Saccharomyces cerevisiae S288C: one gene and its partners. The protein of the gene in region 2 purifies or fractionates together with the protein of the main gene of each other region. This does not show direct contact. Each region holds a gene or a part of one and is shown on either strand. Other genes may lie near its edges.

Region 1 (6,936 bases), on a different chromosome or scaffold from region 2:
TTGAAATATGACAAAAGTGATATTAGGTCACCTGGATTTAAACCAAAAGACACTCATGCAGATAGACTCAATGACCATTACCTTAACACTTTACAATCTGATTTGTTATTGATTAATTATTCACATAACGCTGCGGTGGTAAAGGGTCTAAAACAAAGAGCGTGGAGTGGTGATTCGCCATACCACTTGAACAGACCACCGAAAAATCCTCGAGGTTCGAAAGCTCAACTACCTGACATTCATCCTATCAAATGGAGTAACATTCCTGGGCTAGAAAGTGTTGTAATAAACTGTTTTGTTAGGGAAGCGAGAGAAAATCAGCTATTGGCTATCACCGCTGCGTTACAATTACAACAAATTACTGGATGTAAACCTCATCCAATTTTTTCCAAAAATGATGTTCCAACCTGGAAACTGAGAAAAGGTCATCAGATGGGAGCTAAAGTCGAACTAAAGGGAAAAGAAATGTCTCAGTTCTTAAGCACATTGACCGAAATCGTCCTACCAAGAATCAGAGAATATAAAGGTATAAGCAACCAGTCTGGGAACAGATTTGGTGGGATTAGTTTCGGCCTGACGGCTGAAGATATCAAATTCTTCCCTGAAATCGATGCAAACCAGGACTCATGGCCTAAAACTTTTGGTATGCACATAAATATAAACACCTCAGCTCAATTAGATTACCAGGCGAGAACTTTGTTGAGTGGGTTCCAGTTCCCATTTTTCGGAGAGGAGAAATAAGAATACAATCTCATGGTCCTGGCCAGTTAGCCATGCTCTATGGCAGAAAGGCAAAGGGCATATATAATTTCCCATTCGTCATGTAAATATATAAACTGTACAAGATACTATCTCTCTCCATTTTTCAATCATATAGTTCTCTTTGGGGCACTGAGATGTCTACAAATTGTTATAAAATTGGACGTCTCTTACACAACTCACAACTCAACTCTGTATAAAGATTTTTAGGAAAGAAAATGTACATAAAAGTGAATACTTGTTTAAAAATGAGAACAAAGATTCCTACGCAATTAAAATCTATTTAAAGATTTTCCTTATTTTTTTATTTCTTTTCGAATTTTTTAAGTTTTATTCTTATCTCCTTTGACATTATAACTTACATTGCATCAGCTCAGGGTGGTTCAAACATGAGTGAGAGCAAGTTTATTGGTCTTCTTAGCAATCAATGCCACTCTGTCACCTAGGGACAGAGCCAAACCTTGTCCCTTTGATCGGATACGAACATAACCTATGACATCATTGGTTTTGGAATCCTTTTCGATACACAAGTTGGCTAGGGCATCTTCACCAAAGGACGACTTCGCATACAGATTACAACTTAAGAACCTACAATCATCTTCTCCCAACGACTCTGATGGTGTTAGAATACCCATATTAGTTCCCTTGACCAGTTCTCTCAAATAAGCATGCAATGTTGGTAGTTGTGATTTGACCGATATTTTGTTCTCCCACTCAAATGCATTCCACATGGTACGGAAATGTTCATCGTCAGCAGTGGCTGGTTTGATATAATCCATAATGTCAACATGAACGTCGTTTAAAATAACATAACGAGCATCTTCACCATGCGCACCATCATAAATAATATTACCGAAAATGACACCTGTGTCAGCAGAGGAAACTTTGACAGTAACAGTGAATTTGTGGAAGCCATGAGGAATCACGTTGGTCTTCTGTGGTGTGTCAATAATCTTCAAATCACCAAGAGTTGCAAATTGCACATGTAGGTTTTTCAATGTTTCTTTCGTTTGATTAACAAGAAGAACATCTAATACGACGTCAAATTGATTGTTTGTAATACAAGCCTCGGCGTAAACTGGATCAGAAAAGCCACATAAAGGTACTATCTTCTTCAGCTTCGAAATACTAGAGCTGCTAGTAGCGTGGATTGCATCTCCTTTCATTGCCAGTTGTAAATCTTCTTCAATACTATCTTTTTGCACATTAGTAGAATCCACACCAGCAAATTGCCTGAAAGAAATCGGCGTATCAATTGGTTCGATGTTTTTGCAACTGTCTTTTAATGCTCTCTTATGCTTGTTCTTCTTTGCAATTTCAATTTGTCTCTTGAATGAGGATTTGGTGGTGTCCAGGAATGCAACCTCCAGAAGTTTAACTTCTTCCTTCTTTTCCTCAGGATTAACTTCATCCAATAAAATAGAAATAGATGTCATAACTCTCTCTAAAGAATCTTCATCAATTTTTTTCTCCACCAAAGAGCTTTGACCCACTCTTACAATACTAACTAAAATTAGTAAAGCTTCCGCCTTTAGAGCATTGATGACAGTTTTGTTCTTGGAAACGTTTTCGAATTTTAAAACAAGTTTAATGATGGTGTTGGCCAGAATGGCAGCTGTGTAGAAATCACCACTTAAAACAAACCGGCGAATTGGAGGTCTAGAATCACGTTCTTCATCGGTAACTGACTTTTGAGAAGTCTTCACATCGAAAGCGCTTTCAGTGGCATACGTACCGTCTGGTAGAATAACTGGACCAGTTGGCTTGGCGGTAGCGTCAACCTCATTTTCTTCGGTGTGTTCTTGGTTTTGTGTTAACTTTTTGATTTCTGATTGAAGGATAGGAACTTCACCTACGCTGTTACGAATGTGCTTCCAACAATGTTGTATCTCACTTTCTCCTTCAGCATACTCACCCATAATCCATAATGCACCGCGGTAAGCTTTAGCAGATCTCACTTTGTCTAGCGTTTGAACCATGTTTTCAAGGATATTGGCTCTAAGTTGTGGGTATTTTTCGATCACTTCTTTGATAAAGGCAATGATACCACTGGCGGCAACCGAGTTTAAATCACCGATGAAATCTAATAATAGCGAAACAACACTTGCTGCCATTTCTACAAAGTTTACAGCCACGGTACGAATAGTTTTTATTAACAATTGTCTGTACTGCATTGCCTTGTCTTGATCTGGGTTATTTACGGTTGTTTGCAGCTCTTTCTTCAAAAGCTGAACAACATCTTCAGCATTTCTGGATGTGGCCAAGTCCATTGAAATATCAAGCGCCTTTGAACGAACGTCTAAATCTTCTGCATTCAAGACTCTCAAAATATCCAGGGTTAACTCTTCCAAAGCACCTACGTTATTAGCATTGATGTCTTGAATACGGTCTAGAACAATTAACTTAATGTTATTATCAGAAACCTTGACGGCCAAGTCAATCAATTTGTTAACCGCAGGAACCAAGACATTTGGATTGGCAGACAACACAGTTAGGGCTAATGCGGTCTCGAAGATGACTTCATCGGAAGTCGTGGTCGAAAGCAGTTCCATCAATAATTCGATATATTGGGCTTTCAAAGCAGGGGTCCTGTTTGCATCTTGTCTGATAAATTGAACAAAGACAGCTTGTAATAAAGGGTCTAGGTTTTCTATATCAGCAATATTGTTCTCTAAATAGTGTAAGGCATTTTCACGATCTAATTCAGCTAACCCAATAAATGCATTTCTTTTACATATTGGATCAGTTTCAGCTACTATGAACGAATTGATGATTTCTTTAGCATCGGGAAGTAAATGTTCGCTGACCTTGAAAATGGAGAAAACTGCTAGGATTGCATACTTACGAACATATGCATGACGGTATTCCAAGCACGCTAAGACAGAGGGAACCATCTGTTCTAAGAGTTCGGCCTCTCTCAATTTCGTTAAAAACCTTAATGTGTTACCTCTAATATATTCATTAGGATGTTGCAAATCGTGTTGAATGGCATTACAGACAAGAATCATTTCATGTCTCAATTTTCCATCTTCAGCTAGTTTGGGAACAATTTCCCAGTAGAAGTACAAAAGCTTTTTTAATTCCTTATTTTTAGAAGGCATGACAAATCTTATTATGTGCATCAACAATTCAGGCATTGGATTTCCTTCCAGCATTGTAACTAAAATTGATTTCATCGTGTCAATTTTTTGTTCATCAGATCCCTTTTCAAGAGCTTTCTGAAAATCGGTACTCGAGTAAGTCTCCATACTCGGAGAAGGATCGAAAACCAACGTGTACGCTGGCTGTGAAGAAAGTGAAGTCATAGGTGCACTCTTGTTCAATAGTTAACTGTGATTACTTTTGTTTATTCTCAAGGCAATCTTAACTGAGTCTTAATGAACGTCAAATTTCACTTGTCGAGCTGTTGTTTTCTGATTTCTTTCTACGTGTAGCGAGTACACGGAAAGAAAAAAAAAACGAAGTGATAAGCTGGGTAATACTTTTCTAAAATGCTGTTCCATAAACGTACATATATGACATCTACAAAACTACAGAGAAGGATATCATTCTGGGTCTGAATCAGGGTTTGCCACACGCAAGCCATGCCCCAGAGAATAGCTGAGGTCTACCACATCAGAGTTCGTTGTGGAGACAGAGTCCTGACGCGATATATTACTTCTAGCATTAGCATCACGATAATCTTGAAGAGAGATATGTGTAGGAAGCTTTTGTCTGTTCACGTAATCATTATCCAGTGTTCCACTTCTCATTCTGTTCTGAGACCTTGTGTAGTAGCTGACTACCGTGTTAGATCTTGACACGGAATCAACAGAACCGTTTTGCCCTCTTTTTTCTCGTAAAGGCGCCATTATATCATCACTGTTATATGCTTCATCACCGGGTATGTCCTTGAGGTAGTCTTCGGCTTGTTCTGCGTCAGTGCCTTCTTTTTTTGAAATAGAGCCAGTTTCATTTTCCTTCCCTAACAATTTATGGAATTCCTTTGTGTGGTCAACATTGATTTTATTTTTCAGCCCTGTAGCGGTTCCATCTGATTCTTCATTTCTTGTCTCCAACGCCAGTAATTTCTGTTTAACTTTACCATGCTTGATACCAATTTGCTTAGAACTTGTCCTCAACTTGACCTTAATATTCTTGGGTTGAATCAAATTATTTTTTTGTTTTAGAGCAACCGGCAAGTTAGGAGGCGCTTGTAAAAAGTTAGAAGTCTTGTAATACTTTAGTCGCAGTTCTTCTACGTAACTAGAAACCAAAGGCACGGACTTTTCCGATTTGTTCGATACGACAGATGTTAACGGTGAACATTTGACAGATCTTTCGCTTGGGGCATCATGTACCGGATTTGGTAAATCCACCGTTGCAGGGATAGTAACTGTGTGTTCATTGAACGAGTGAGCAGCCGGCACTAAACTTTCTGAAATGGAGTTTAAACTGTTTAACTCGGATGTTTTATTTGATGATTTTGTGTTTCCGTTTGAGTCAAGAGCAGCCAAAACAGTTGATTTAGAGCCTTTTGATATAGAAAGTCCTGACTGGCTAGAGAAGTTTGACTTGGCATCATACTCACCAGATGATGCAGTGTCAAAAGAATGCTTGTCGGTTAGACTGCCCGTATCGTTTACACTATTTAAATAGAAACTAGGGCGATCTTCATTAACCACCCTAAATATTCTACGATGACTTGGTAACTCAGGCTCTTGTGTTGAGACGTCATTTTTTATAGATGAGCCTTGATCACTTGCGTAATTTATAAATGCTTTACTTTCACTATCCACAAAACCTTTTTCCTGAAGACCATCATCATCATCCTCGTTGGAAGAACCGCTATCAATCTCATTAGTTATCCGCAGAGGCTTTCTGGCGCTTGCAATACTTCCATCACTCCCAAGGTGCTCATTTGATTTATATGCAAAATCAAAATGTGCAGCTTTAAAACCACTAGATTCGTCTTTAGAAACTTGCTGAAGGCTTTTGGTGGATTTACCACTAGCCGATGTACTAAAGGAAAATTTATCATCCCCATCATCCAGATTCGAAGAAAATTCTTTTAGATGATCTGATTGTACTAAATTTCCGTTACTTGCTTTATTTACTTCTTCATTATCCACAATAAGTGGTTTTACGTAGCTTAAGGAACTCTCCGCGCTGACATTTCTCAAAATGGGAGCTTCCATGACATCTACTGGCAACTTATCTTGCGATGCTTTAGTATCTGAGTTTTCAGACGTGTCTAGGGATAGTGAGCTACCGGAACTTACCTTGTGTTCATTAATGTAATTTTCAATATCATCTACCAACTTTTCTGCTTCTGAACGCTGCCGCCTATGTTGATTGTGGGTGGATGAGATTGCAATACTATCCCGCTCAGAATCATTATTACTCTCTATTTCTTCCTTAGTAGTATTGTTGCTTATTGACGTTGTTATTGACTTCATGTCCATAGGCGGTGGTGGAGGCCTCGAACGTTTTATCTTGGAGAAATGTGCATTTGAATTTGCGCTTGTTGTGAAGGGGTTGGTTCTCTGCCCAATGATGTTGTTTTCTTGTAAATATTCAATTCCTTTGTGATCGTTTCCTGACGCTTCCTTGGACTGTGTTAATTCAAGAGAATCTCCTAAGGTATCCTCAGCATTCAAAAATGGATTAGTATTCTTTAATGTTTCCTTTTGTAATGGTGCCTGGATAGAATGGCTCCTGCTATGAGCATTCCTATTTGGACTTCTTGGCGGTATATCAGGGGCAGAAGTTTCAGCCGTCGAAGTTCGTGCGATATTTGTTGATTTCTTTATTGTAGAGGGCACCGATGGCTTTCTAACGGATTTTTCAGAGTCATTGTTTTTACTTTCAGAACCAAACCGAAAAAAAGACCTTCGTTTACCTTTATTGTTGCTAAAGCCATCAAACATCACTGTATTATTAGACTTTACCTGTAGACTCCTTCAAAACCTGTAATTCGCTTTGCAGAACATGCTATTTCAACATTTTCCCTCTTAAACTTTTGCCAAATAATAATAGTGCGCTCTTTGAATCCGCGATGACATTTGAAAGAAAACATTAAATTAAACTATCGCTTTGCATACGGAGCAAATGCCATGAAAGAGAAAAAATAACCAAAAGGTTTTTTAAATATATCTATACACCTCCACTGTTATATGCGACTCAATGTTCTAATAT
Region 2 (6,784 bases):
TTTTGCCCATCAAAATAACGTCCGGTCATGATTTTGCAACATTGCAATGCAACTTTATTGTTCTTAAAGACGACCGTCGCTTCCCCCTTATTGGGAGATACAGATATACTGTCTACTTGACCTATCTCTTCACAGCCTTCCAAAAGATCTTCCTGAATATCATTTATATCATCATTTGTGTATGATTTGTAAATATTGAATACGTTGGCAAATATCACCGTTCGATCAGCTTTTGCTAGGCTTTCATCGTCATTGTAATCTATTACTTCCCCCTCCCCTTCAGACTTCGCTTTTTTTAGCCTCTTTATTGGAGGCTCAGGTCCGTTGAACTCCTTTAAATCATTTTCTTTCCCGTGCATATTGTCACCTTCCTTGTTTTGAAATTGGGCTCTTTCGACCCTGATCTGTTTTCCCAGGAAGATCGACTCGTTCATCATTTCGATTGCTAATGTAACACTTTCTTCCTTGGAATAAGTGATCAAGGCATCCCCTTTGAAAGCGCCTTTATCATTCACATATAGCTTGCAAAGGGGTTCCCCATCTCGATTGGTTCTTATCATTCCATACTTGCAAAACTGCTCAGTGAGTCCTTCTTTCGTTGTTTTGTCTGTGGGAAGACCAGAAATATATATTGAAGTATTTTTTGAGGCATTATTATATTCAAGCTCTCTTTTCTGAAGATTACTCTCTTTTAACTGTTTCCTTCTAAGCAATTCTTCTTTTTTCAATTTTTTCAAATGACCTTTCAATTCCAATTCATCAGCATCCATCGCTGTCAAACAGTAATGTTGGTAACGGAATACAGTGAAAAGTGTAGTGCGTTCAAGGGTCTGCAGCCTTTTACAATATGCCTGGTCAGACTAGTGCTTTTTTTTTGTTTTTTTTCTTCTTCTTCTTTCATCAATTGCATAATGTCAACTTTTTTCTGCCCTGTTGTCCTGTTTCTTCCATTTCGTTTTCTCTTGTCAAACTATTATAGTATTTTTCTTTAAAAATTTTGTTTATACAAAGATTACATAATTTATTCTTCGTGTGGTGATGATCCGTCATATTCTATCCGTGATTTTTTTGGTTTATTATTGTTCTTGCTGTTCATTCCCTTATTTGCATGCACGCTTGCTAAAGCTGACGCATTTCTTTTAATACTATTGATAACAAAAGAAGGGATTAACTGAAATAAAATTTCACAGCTTACTGCATTAGACCATTCACCAGATCAGAGCATAATAAGCTGTCTTCACCTTTACCATGAACTTTCAAAGCAAGACCTTTCGAACTCTTGATCATCTTAATCTGTAGGGCTACTTTAGATCCAGTTAAAGCACTCTTACCAAATAATTTCAAGGTGTGGGAGTTTGAATCACTTGGAGCAAATTGGGTACTTTCCACCGGTAAGCAGCTACTGTTCAAAATAATCTTATCTACTACTTCTTGTATGGATAAATCTTCTTGAATGTTGAAAACAGCAACTTCTTCGCATGGCAACTCATCAAATGTAGCGGAGAAGTTACCAGTGAAAGAACTCTTAACATAATCACCAGCATTCAAGAAAATCGAGTCAATTTCATATTCATCTTGGAAACCTTCATCACCATCAAATGGCTCATTAGTGTCAGGGTTTATTTCTTTTGTAGTGAATGTTAAGTTGTTCAAGAAACCTTCCATTACAATTTCATCAAGTTTTTTGAATGCAACGTAACAAGCTGCTTCCTCGGATGGTAATAATCTGTCCACTTGTAGGGTGAATAGCTCTTCTAATTCAGCTTCATCAGAAATTTCAGGGGTACAGACTACAGAAACATTGTCTAGGGCAATATCCGTCAGAGTATTCGTAATATTAAATTGTAAAACAACATTGTCTTTGAAGAGATGTTTGACACCACGTACAACGAATTCTGCTTCTGGCTCAGTTAATGAGATAGCCCTAGAACTATTTACTAATTGACCAAATGGTTTAATTTGTTCAATGGATAGCAATTCGTCAGCGTACTTAGTAGCTAGTAGATCTTCTTGGTGGTCGTCCAAGTTTGGACCAGCAAATGAATTAGCGTCAGCTCTTTTTTCTGGAACACTCTCTGCCTCTGGTGTAGTATCCAAAGTGGTTTCAGACTTTTGATTGAAAATTTGTTCTTGCTTTCTCTTCAGATTTATTGCCTTCATTTCATCCTCAGTAAACTTACGAACTTGATTCACATCAAATGCAGTTGCAAATGAATCAGTATTTGAGGAAATGTAAGAACTTAATTTTGACTCTAATGATGGAATATCGTAAAAATATTTGGATTCGATTAGATTTTGTGCTATAACATCATCTTTATTCCTAGCCGAATCAATGAATTCTAGTGCAATGGTGGCTCTGTCTCTGACTTCATCGTCTTTATCATTAGCGATTCTCTTTAACAAACTTATGATTGACTCATATAAGGTAGGATCGTTCTTCGTCAAAGCAAACTTAGATAAAGCTACAACGGCAGCAGATCTAATAATAGAATTTTCCAACACCACTCTGTTATAAATATGTCTAACATATAATGATGGATTTGGGGCAGATGGACCTTCTTTACCCAAAAGATGTAGTATTCTCACTAGTATTTCGTTGAATTCACAATCCTCGATGAAATCACACAAGTTTTCTAAGGCGAGTTCTTTAGACTGTGGAACAAATGAAACAATATCGATTAATGCTTCGACAATACTGTTTTTAAATTTGAATCCACCTTCACTATTTTTCAAAACATCGATTAAGAAGTTCAAAATTGACTTCCATTCCTGTGGGAAGTTCAAAGACAACGTACGAACGGCGTCAATAATAATGATCTTAAAGTCATCACTGACATCATGGATAAAATTAGTAATAGTCGAAATCAGAGATGAAATATTTTTGGAAGTTCCTGTCTTCAATAAAGTGGTGATTGCATAAGTAGAAATGTTTCTATTAGAATCATTAATTAAAGATTCTAGTTCAGGATTACAAACAACAATCTTTTCTGGTGAAACCATGGATATTCTATTTAAGATTCTCAATGCAGCGAATCTAGAAGAAACACGAGGAACGGTCAGTAAGGACTGTAAAGCACTGATAGCTGCCGCATATAACTCGGGAGCCACTAAGCGGGAATTGCGAGTAGCGAAAGAAGTAATCAATTTCGCCGTTTCCAACTGAACAGATTCGAACTTGTTGGATAGCCAATCAGACAAAAGTGGCCTGAATTGACTAAATAATTGAGGATCCCTATAAATCAAATCGTTGACAATCTTGACCAATTCTACCTTGGCCAATTGATTTTTCATAGAATTGTTTTCAGAGAAATGTCTAACCAATTTTAGTAACGCCATTTTATCAGTTTTCTTCAGTTGATAAAGCAACCCAAGAGCATGATATTGAGAAATATAAGTGGAGTTTGGATAATATTCGCTATTACCGTGTTGATTTGGAAATTGTTTCAAATCCAAAACAGCTTCTTGAGTTTCATTGGTGAATCTTCTGATAGTGACTTCTGAAATGGGCAGCAAATGATAAGAAGTACATAATGCTGCTGAGGATATTGAAGGATGTCTACTTACCACGGCACTTTTTAATAACCTTTCAGCGGAAAAAGCAGTAGATTCATCCAAGACATAAGTCAGCGATCTAATAGCGTCAGGCTTAATCAAATCGGAACCGTTTTGAACGTCCTTCATGATTGAAGAGGTTGCCATCAACACATCCTCCGAAATGCCACTCAATTCCTTGATTGCCAAATAAACAGCCTGCCTTAAAGGATCGTTCTGGTGTTGAAATAATTTGGAGATAGAGAAAAATAATGCAGTTGCTTCATTCTGTGGGAAGGTTTCGCCCTGGGCCAAGAGTCTCAGCAAGCGAGAAATCAATAAACGACATCTCTTGGAATTGACAGGTGATTCGTTAAACGTGTTCATACAATCCTGATAAATGGTCATTTTATCAGGTAAATCGCCCGAGGTCGAGTTTTCAAACTTTTTGTAAGTATGTGCAGACATGTTGATTCGCTCTGTGATTTAGTATCGCTTCTTGGCTTTTGTCCTATCCGTATTTGTTTAGTTATTTTGTATTATACGTCGTTCTGTAATGTTTGCGGGCTCACCTGGATGAAGCTAAGAACAAAAAAACGGGTTTAGCAGAATAACTGAAGAAGTACGTTGGTAATGAGCACACACAATTCCTCCCTTGCACTTATTTGTAAAGAATTGTGTTCTCAACAATGCAACTCGTATCCAAAAAAACGCCTATGTATATTTCATTGATCTTGACGAAACCTTTAGATTTCGAAAAAAATAGAATCGTGGTTCGTGGCGTCGTAGTGAATGACACAAGGGGTACATTCCGGGTGATAGGATGAAAAATGGGTAATAGTAATAGTACAGAAGAACCTTCTGGCACTTAACTTAAACCATTCTGAAATATGAGTGGACTTTATACATTTCATGCATATAAATATAACTATACAAAATTAGGAGAGGTGAGGAAGTGAAACTAAAACAAAAAGGCAAGGTTAAAACAATACAGGAAAATAGAAAGAGAAAAACAGTAATATATCTATGGGGATGCATCATGAGGTTTCTTCGTTTAATGTCAGTAGCAATTGTGCCAGACATCTCTTGGACCCGACGTCGTCTCTTAGTACTTCCGTAAAAGTGTTATCTCTCAGTTTGGCAGGTAAGACTATTTTCAATAGCCTGCGTGCTTCGAGATCGTCGCTTAATCTTAAGTAGCATCTAATGATATGTTTCAGTAGTCGTCCCGGTGGTGTGCTCACGGTCAAGTGCTCAACCATATCTTTTAAGACATTAGTTACGGCGTAGAACCTTTCCAAGGTGGCACAGATGTATTGCAATCCAACGTCATCTAGTAGGATTTTCTGTAAAATGAAAATGGCGACTGTCTTGGAAAGCTCAGAAGAAGATTCCATGATCCTTAGGCATAACGGCACGATATCGGTTCTTAGCAAAAACGTTATTACGTCTTGTGAGTCATTTTTGACCAATGCGCCTATCACACCTAATGAAGTCAATCTCAAGTACTCAAAAGTTCTTTGCCTGGAGGTAGTATTTAGGAAGGGGAAAAGAAAGAGAGGAATATGGGCCTGTAAAAAGAGATGTTTTGTCTCTGGGTGAGATGCAACACACTGTAGAAGAACTAGAGCGTTGCATACACGATTTGATAGATTGTTAGAGAGCATCTGAGGTTGCAGCATGGGATATACGGAAATGATTTCGTTCAGCAATGAGGTCATTACACCAAAGGAAGACCAAAGCACAACGGCAAGGTCATCAAACTGTTCTCTTTTGCGACCTAATTCAAGCAGTGCTTGTTCCTTTTGAGGGCCGTAGGTCAATTGACAAATCCAGTGGTATACATTGGGATCATCTAGAGCATGCACTGCGCCTCTATTATTGACCATGTTGGGATTGTTTCGAGTTGCGTTAGCATCGTTACCGCCGTTATTGCCGTTATTGCCGTTGTTCTCGCCATTTTCATTGCTATTATTATTATTCGGAGTATTGCCCATTAGCATGGGGCCTCCACTTGGAATTTGTTGATTCATGCCTGGACCCATTGAAGTTGGAACCCCAGGCATGGACATAGATCCTGGATTATTAGTTGAAGGACCACCACCACCCATGTTCACGCCTGCTCCATTGCCATATATTGGCTTTTGAGCGGAAAACATATTAACTTATTCAGAGGATGTTCAGTTGCTGTCGTTGTTGCTTCAGGAACAAAGTTTAATCTCGTCAAGATCAGCAGAAACACACACACTCGCAAATTTGTCAAAACTTGGGAGTTTTAAAAGATGAACGGTTTCTAACTTGCGTACTCTACGTCTTTGCAATCCCTTTACAATGTCTTCTATGCGTAAATTACTTTAAATTTGGATTTTGCCTCTTGCTGCTCGCAGCAAAATTCTCAGCATGTTGAGGTGTGTGGGTGGAGTTTTTCCTCTCCTGCTAGTAATACTTATGCAAGAATCTACGTCTAATGAGGTGCTCACGTTTTGCAATGATGATATAAATAGGGACAGTAATCTAATATAGACAAGTGGGCGTAATAGGGTTTTCTTCTCTCTCTTATGCATTCTGTAAGCATCTCGCTTTATGTGAGGAATAGTAGTAAAAGCGTATGATACAGGGAAATAGTAGTACTTTTACAATAGTATTGCTACTTGCATTCCCAAAAACATTCAATAAATGCACTTGGTTTCGAGCGTCTTTTGTTTATTTTTAAGTTTTGTTTGTTTTTTTTATTGTTTTGCTTCGTAGTTTCAATTTTAAACATTAATGTGTGCAAAAACTATAAGACAATGGTATACGCAAGAAAAACTATAAGTAGCATATTTAGTCTACTCCGAGCCATATCGGAAAGAACAATGTCGCGTCTTGCAAAGGCTGTTAATACATAGAATAGGCCACTCCAGGCATGTAAATACATGATTGATTGGATGAGCAACACTGAAATGGACCAGTGGCAACCTAACAGGATTTCTGATCTATTTCACGCCCAGAAAAAAGGCGTACATTCTATAATCTACTTAACAGACCTATACAAGCACTGTCCTACATATTTCAAAAGATTTAATTTACATATCGATTCCGTTCAACGTAAACAGTTTGCTCATAATACAGTCACAGATGTGAGAGAAAAAAAAAAAAGAAAATAAAGGAAAATGGATCAGAAATTTGGGTATACTTAATGCTTCATAGGACACCTGAGTACTTGTGGCATCCATGTTCAGACTGGTGCACAGCTTTTTTCTCGTCATTTACC
Region 3 (5,224 bases), on a different chromosome or scaffold from region 2:
CGGCAATTGTTCCTGGTCAAAGCATTAGTGGAACATTGGAACTCAGTGCACAATTTAGAGTACCGCGTTATCACAGCAAAAACTCATTTCAACAAGCTCTGCAAATGAAGGCAATGGACATACCAATCGGAAGACATGAAGAATTACTTGCGCAATATGAAAGTCAAGCTCCTGATGGTTCCGCTTCAATTTCACTTCCTAACCATATTCCATCTGTCAATCCTAGCAATAAACCAATCAAACGAATGCTAAGTAGCATTCTTGATATTAACGTTTCCTCATCAAAAAACAAGAAGTCTGAGGAGAACGAAATGATAAAACCCATGAACAAGGGCCAACACAAAAATAATACATCGTTAAACATAAACGGCTGGAAATTTGAATCTTTGCCATTAAAATCCGCCGAGAATTCAGGTAAACAGCAATATTATAGAGGATTGCCGTTATATGAAAAAAACACGCTGCTAGAAAGGTTGAAACAGCTGACACCGAACGAAATTAAAGAACTAGAGCATTTACACGATGCCGTTTTTGTTAATACCGGTTTGCAGAACGTTAGAAAAGTTAGGACAAAAAAATGGAAAAAGTACTGGCAGTACAAGGCAGGTATTCCTATCGGTTTGAAACGGTCTCAATTGGATGAATTCAAAAATAAATATTTGAAAGATGTGTTGGCGCAAACGAGTGTTACTACAAATTTTAACGAAATAACGAATACGGATGAAACAATAACAACAAAGAGGGTACCGAACCCAAACTTCCTAGGAAATTGTAACATTAAGGATTTTAAACCTCCATACATTTATTCTCATGTGAACAAAGTACCACAAAATGTCGCTGGGGATAAAACGGCTGTTAAGCTGGACACTGAAGTAAAGAACACAAATGCTAATCCAGTGGTGGCGACGGATCCGGTCGCCGCTAAACCGGACAACCTGGCTAACTTCAGCAACGAAGTAGCTATGAATAATTGAAAGAAGTAAAACATAATGTAGGGAACACTCCAATAAGAAATAAACCATTGTTGAAGTAGTAATATAAACTATCGTTCGTTATTTTATAAAATATGTATTGTTACATATATATACATATATAGGGAATGCATGTGCACAATTGGTTTGAGTGGAAGGAATAATCCAAAATCATAGCAGTTTGGTCTTTATGATCTCTTGTCTGATTCTGAATGTGTAATATGCCATAACCAACATAATGAAAATTAATGGAAGTAACCAAATCATTAGTTTTCTGGCAATTTCGTCGACCTGAGGACCATCTTGTCCATGACGTTTGGTAGCTTCCCTATACTTTTCTTGTTCAACCAGGACTTTCTCCAATTTCTGATTGATTGATAAGAAGTCTTTGAAATTTTCTTTATCCTCAGCGATTGCATCATCGGTGGACGTTCCCTTTTCATTATTAGCTGGTGGCTTAGAAGAGAGCTGTTTAGTTATCGTAGTCATGAATGATAATAGCTCTTGTTGGACCTTAATGACATCATTTAGCTTTGTTTCTAAAGCATTGATATCGTTCGCAAGAATTTTACCTTCAACTCTATCCAGTTTCTTATACAATTCATAGTTTGTAATTTTGTCTTTGTCAGCGTCAAATGCTGTTTTTTCAATCAATTTTTCTTTGCCGGTTTGTTGGTCAATGTATTTGGTGATCAGTTTTGGCTGACCCATTGCATTCACATTAGGGATCAAAGAATCTTCAATCACGCCATTAAAAAATTGCATTTTGAATATTTCAAAAGACTCTGCATTATTATTCACTGCTCCATTTTGAGCGGTGACACCAATACGGTAAGACCCAGAGGGAAAGCGAACCTTCCTAGTTTGGAAACAGACTTTATTGTCCACCTGAACTTTTAATAAGTTGTCGTCTTCCAAATCATAAGTTACTCTGATCGTGGAAGGAACGGAGGAATCCTGATAACCCATCAAACAAGATGCAAAACTCTGATCATAGATTTTCGTCTTATCTACAGGCTTTTGACCATCATTTAGTTGACCACGAAGTGTTGGGCCCAATGGACCATTGTTATCCACTAATAATTGTAAACCATCATAGTTCACTGGCCCATTGTATAACTGCTTATCGCGTGGTACGTTAGAATCTTGAACAAACCAAAATGATATGCCACCGTCGGTTTGGCCAGAATAACCAACACTCCTAAATGTCCACTCCATAGTAAAAGAATCCTTCAAATCGAATCCTTGCTTCAACCAAAGTGAACCCTTGGAATTTTGCTTAGAAGTCAATACAATTCTCCCTTCCTCTAGACTAGCTTGTTCTCCAGTTTGCCAGTTATTGGGCACTTTACGTGCATTAATGAGATCAGGGAGCGAGTAGTCTGAGCTTAATTTGGATGCATCTGAAGTGTCACCCAATGGATGAGCTTCTAGCAATCCAGCCCATGTCGCTAAGACGGTAAAAACACTCAACAGTACTGTACTTTTCATAGTAATTAACATCATCATAAAATACAAATTCCCTGATGCTAACTATTTGTTAATTTTATTGGTATAATTATAATTATTCAATACCAATTAAGGCTTCTATTAAAAGATCAAAAACATTCTTAAGAGTTCATACTGTTTCTCTACTCGTGTATAGTGATACCAAGACGTAATGACAATAATAGATGGAAATTGAAATATTATGAAACAGGAATAATATTCCGTTGAATTGTAATAGATGTTGTACACCTGCAAGCGAGCATGCTATCATTTTGCGACTATTTTTGGTCTGAAGACCTTGTCTCAGGTCTAGATGTGCTTTTTGATAGATTATACCATGGTTGTGAGCAATGCGACTTGTTCATTCAATTATTTGCGTCAAGAATGCAATTTGAAGTCAGTCACGGGAGGCAGTTGTTTGGTATAGAAGCCGGTATGGACAATCTGAAGGCAGTGCAGGAAGATGAAGATGAAGGGGTGACAGTTTCGAGGGCCCTGAGGGGAATTCTACAGGAAATGTCTCAGGAAGGGACGCATCACTTGACAATAGCGTCGAACATAGAAAGTTTGGTGCTGCAGCCATTCAGTAAATGGTGCATAGAACATAGGGAGAGAATTCAATACTCCGAGAAGACTTTGTTGACCAATGTAAATAATTTCAGGAAGTCTAAAAAGTACGTCGGTAAGCTGGAGAAGGAATATTTTAATAAATGTAGGCAGCTAGAAGAATTTAAAAGAACTCATTTCAACGAAGATGAGCTAGCAAATGCAATGAAATCATTGAAAATACAAAATAAATACGAAGAAGATGTGGCCAGGGAAAAGGATCACAGATTTTTCAACAGGATAGCGGGAATAGATTTTGATTATAAGACAATGAAGGAGACGCTTCAGCTGTTACTGACCAAGCTTCCTAAAACGGACTATAAGCTACCTCTCATTAGTTATTCTTTGAGCAACACCAACAATGGTGGAGAAATAACGAAGTTTCTGCTTGACCACATGTCGTTAAAGGATATTGATCAAGCTGAAACGTTTGGCCAAGATTTGTTGAATTTAGGGTTTTTGAAATATTGCAACGGTGTTGGTAATACATTTGTCAACTCTAAAAAATTTCAATACCAATGGAAGAATACCGCGTACATGTTTGCCAATGTGCCAATGCCCGGTTCAGAGGAGCCTACCACTGGTGAATCCTTAATATCCCGGTTCAACAACTGGGATGGTTCATCTGCAAAGGAAATTATTCAATCCAAGATTGGTAACGACCAGGGGGCAGCGAAGATCCAAGCTCCGCATATATCCGATAATGAAAGGACGCTTTTCAGAATGATGGATGCGCTTGCAGCGTCAGATAAGAAGTATTACCAGGAGTGCTTCAAGATGGATGCCTTGAGATGCTCGGTTGAGGAGTTGTTGATTGACCATTTGTCGTTTATGGAAAAATGTGAGTCCGATAGACTGAATGCGATCAAGAAAGCGACACTAGATTTTTGTTCTACCTTGGGTAACAAGATTTCTTCGTTAAGACTGTGCATAGATAAAATGCTCACGCTAGAAAACGATATTGATCCCACTGCAGACCTTTTGCAACTTTTAGTTAAGTACAAGACGGGCAGTTTCAAGCCGCAAGCCATTGTTTATAATAATTACTACAATCCTGGTTCATTTCAAAACTTTGGTGTTGATCTAGAAACTCGTTGTAGACTAGACAAGAAAGTCGTTCCGTTGATAATTTCTTCGATATTCTCATATATGGACAAAATATATCCTGACTTACCTAATGATAAAGTAAGAACTTCAATTTGGACTGATTCGGTGAAATTAAGTTTAACACATCAGCTTCGAAACCTATTGAACAAACAACAGTTCCACAACGAAGGGGAAATATTTGATATACTTTCTACGTCCAAGTTGGAGCCAAGCACCATCGCCAGTGTTGTTAAAATTTATTTATTAGAATTACCAGACCCACTAATTCCCAATGATGTCTCTGATATTCTTCGGGTGCTTTACCTTGACTATCCACCTTTAGTTGAAACTGCGTTGCAAAATTCTACATCATCTCCCGAGAATCAGCAGGACGATGACAACGAAGAAGGCTTTGATACCAAGAGAATAAGAGGCCTTTATACTACTCTGTCCTCTCTAAGCAAACCACACATAGCGACACTAGACGCTATTACAACTCATTTTTACAGATTAATTAAAATTCTGAAAATGGGAGAGAACGGTAATGAAGTAGCAGATGAGTTTACCGTCTCAATTTCACAAGAATTTGCCAATTGTATTATCCAGTCAAAGATCACCGATGATAATGAAATTGGTTTTAAGATTTTCTATGATCTACTGACACATAAGAAACAGATTTTTCACGAATTGAAAAGGCAAAATTCAAAAAATTAGGACTAGGCGATATAGATTTGTATATAATTTTATATAAAAGGAAATATGTACATCATTTTCTTTCACTGTAGGCAGCTGTTTCAAGTTCTTTTTTTATTGGAGATATAATTATTTACATTATTGTTATAGAGGACACACGAAAAAGCAAGAAGGGAACTATAAGAAAAATAAAAAATAATGAAGAATACAGATCTGTAATTAGTCATTTCAAGTGAGCGTAATAAGTAAAGTAAGGTAGAACGGAATAAAATGCTCAAGCGTATTGTTGGATTGCCTGCAAGGCGTTGCTTTCATAGAACGTCCTTTTTGCTGGGCAGTGACTTTGAAACTGTGCATATTCCCAATACGAACCACTTTAA

Evidence for each region. Proteins that work in one complex are often made in the same cells at the same time.
Region 1: the proteins of SEC21 (region 2) and SEC26 purify together in Saccharomyces cerevisiae (affinity purification with mass spectrometry; 4 studies listed by BioGRID). This does not show direct contact.
Region 3: the proteins of SEC21 (region 2) and EMP47 purify together in Saccharomyces cerevisiae (affinity purification with western blotting; 2 studies listed by BioGRID, with this or other methods). This does not show direct contact.

The regions. Positions count from the first base shown.
Region 1 is NC_001136.10:936,753-943,688, forward strand, and holds SEC26 (coatomer subunit beta), read right to left. Parts: upstream 4,065-6,936; coding exon 1,143-4,064; downstream 1-1,142. Other genes in the region: mitochondrial 54S ribosomal protein uL5m MRPL7, read left to right, coding at 1-741; YDR239C (uncharacterized protein), read right to left, coding at 4,305-6,668; SNU56 (Snu56p), read right to left, coding at 6,922-6,936. UniProt on the Saccharomyces cerevisiae protein: The coatomer is a cytosolic protein complex that binds to dilysine motifs and reversibly associates with Golgi non-clathrin-coated vesicles, which further mediate biosynthetic protein transport from the ER, via the Golgi up to the trans Golgi network.
Region 2 is NC_001146.8:89,209-95,992, reverse strand, and holds SEC21 (coatomer subunit gamma), read right to left. Parts: upstream 4,000-6,784; coding exon 1,192-3,999; downstream 1-1,191. Other genes in the region: U2 snRNP complex subunit CUS2, read right to left, coding at 1-770; CCR4-NOT core subunit CAF40, read right to left, coding at 4,569-5,690. UniProt on the Saccharomyces cerevisiae protein: The coatomer is a cytosolic protein complex that binds to dilysine motifs and reversibly associates with Golgi non-clathrin-coated vesicles, which further mediate biosynthetic protein transport from the ER, via the Golgi up to the trans Golgi network.
Region 3 is NC_001138.5:37,701-42,924, forward strand, and holds EMP47 (Emp47p), read right to left. Parts: upstream 2,481-5,224; coding exon 1,143-2,480; downstream 1-1,142. Other genes in the region: SWP82 (Swp82p), read left to right, coding at 1-974; GTPase-activating protein RGD2, read left to right, coding at 2,721-4,865; FMP32 (Fmp32p), read left to right, coding at 5,115-5,224. UniProt on the Saccharomyces cerevisiae protein: Involved in the secretion of glycoproteins and in nucleus architecture and gene silencing. Required for the endoplasmic reticulum exit of EMP46.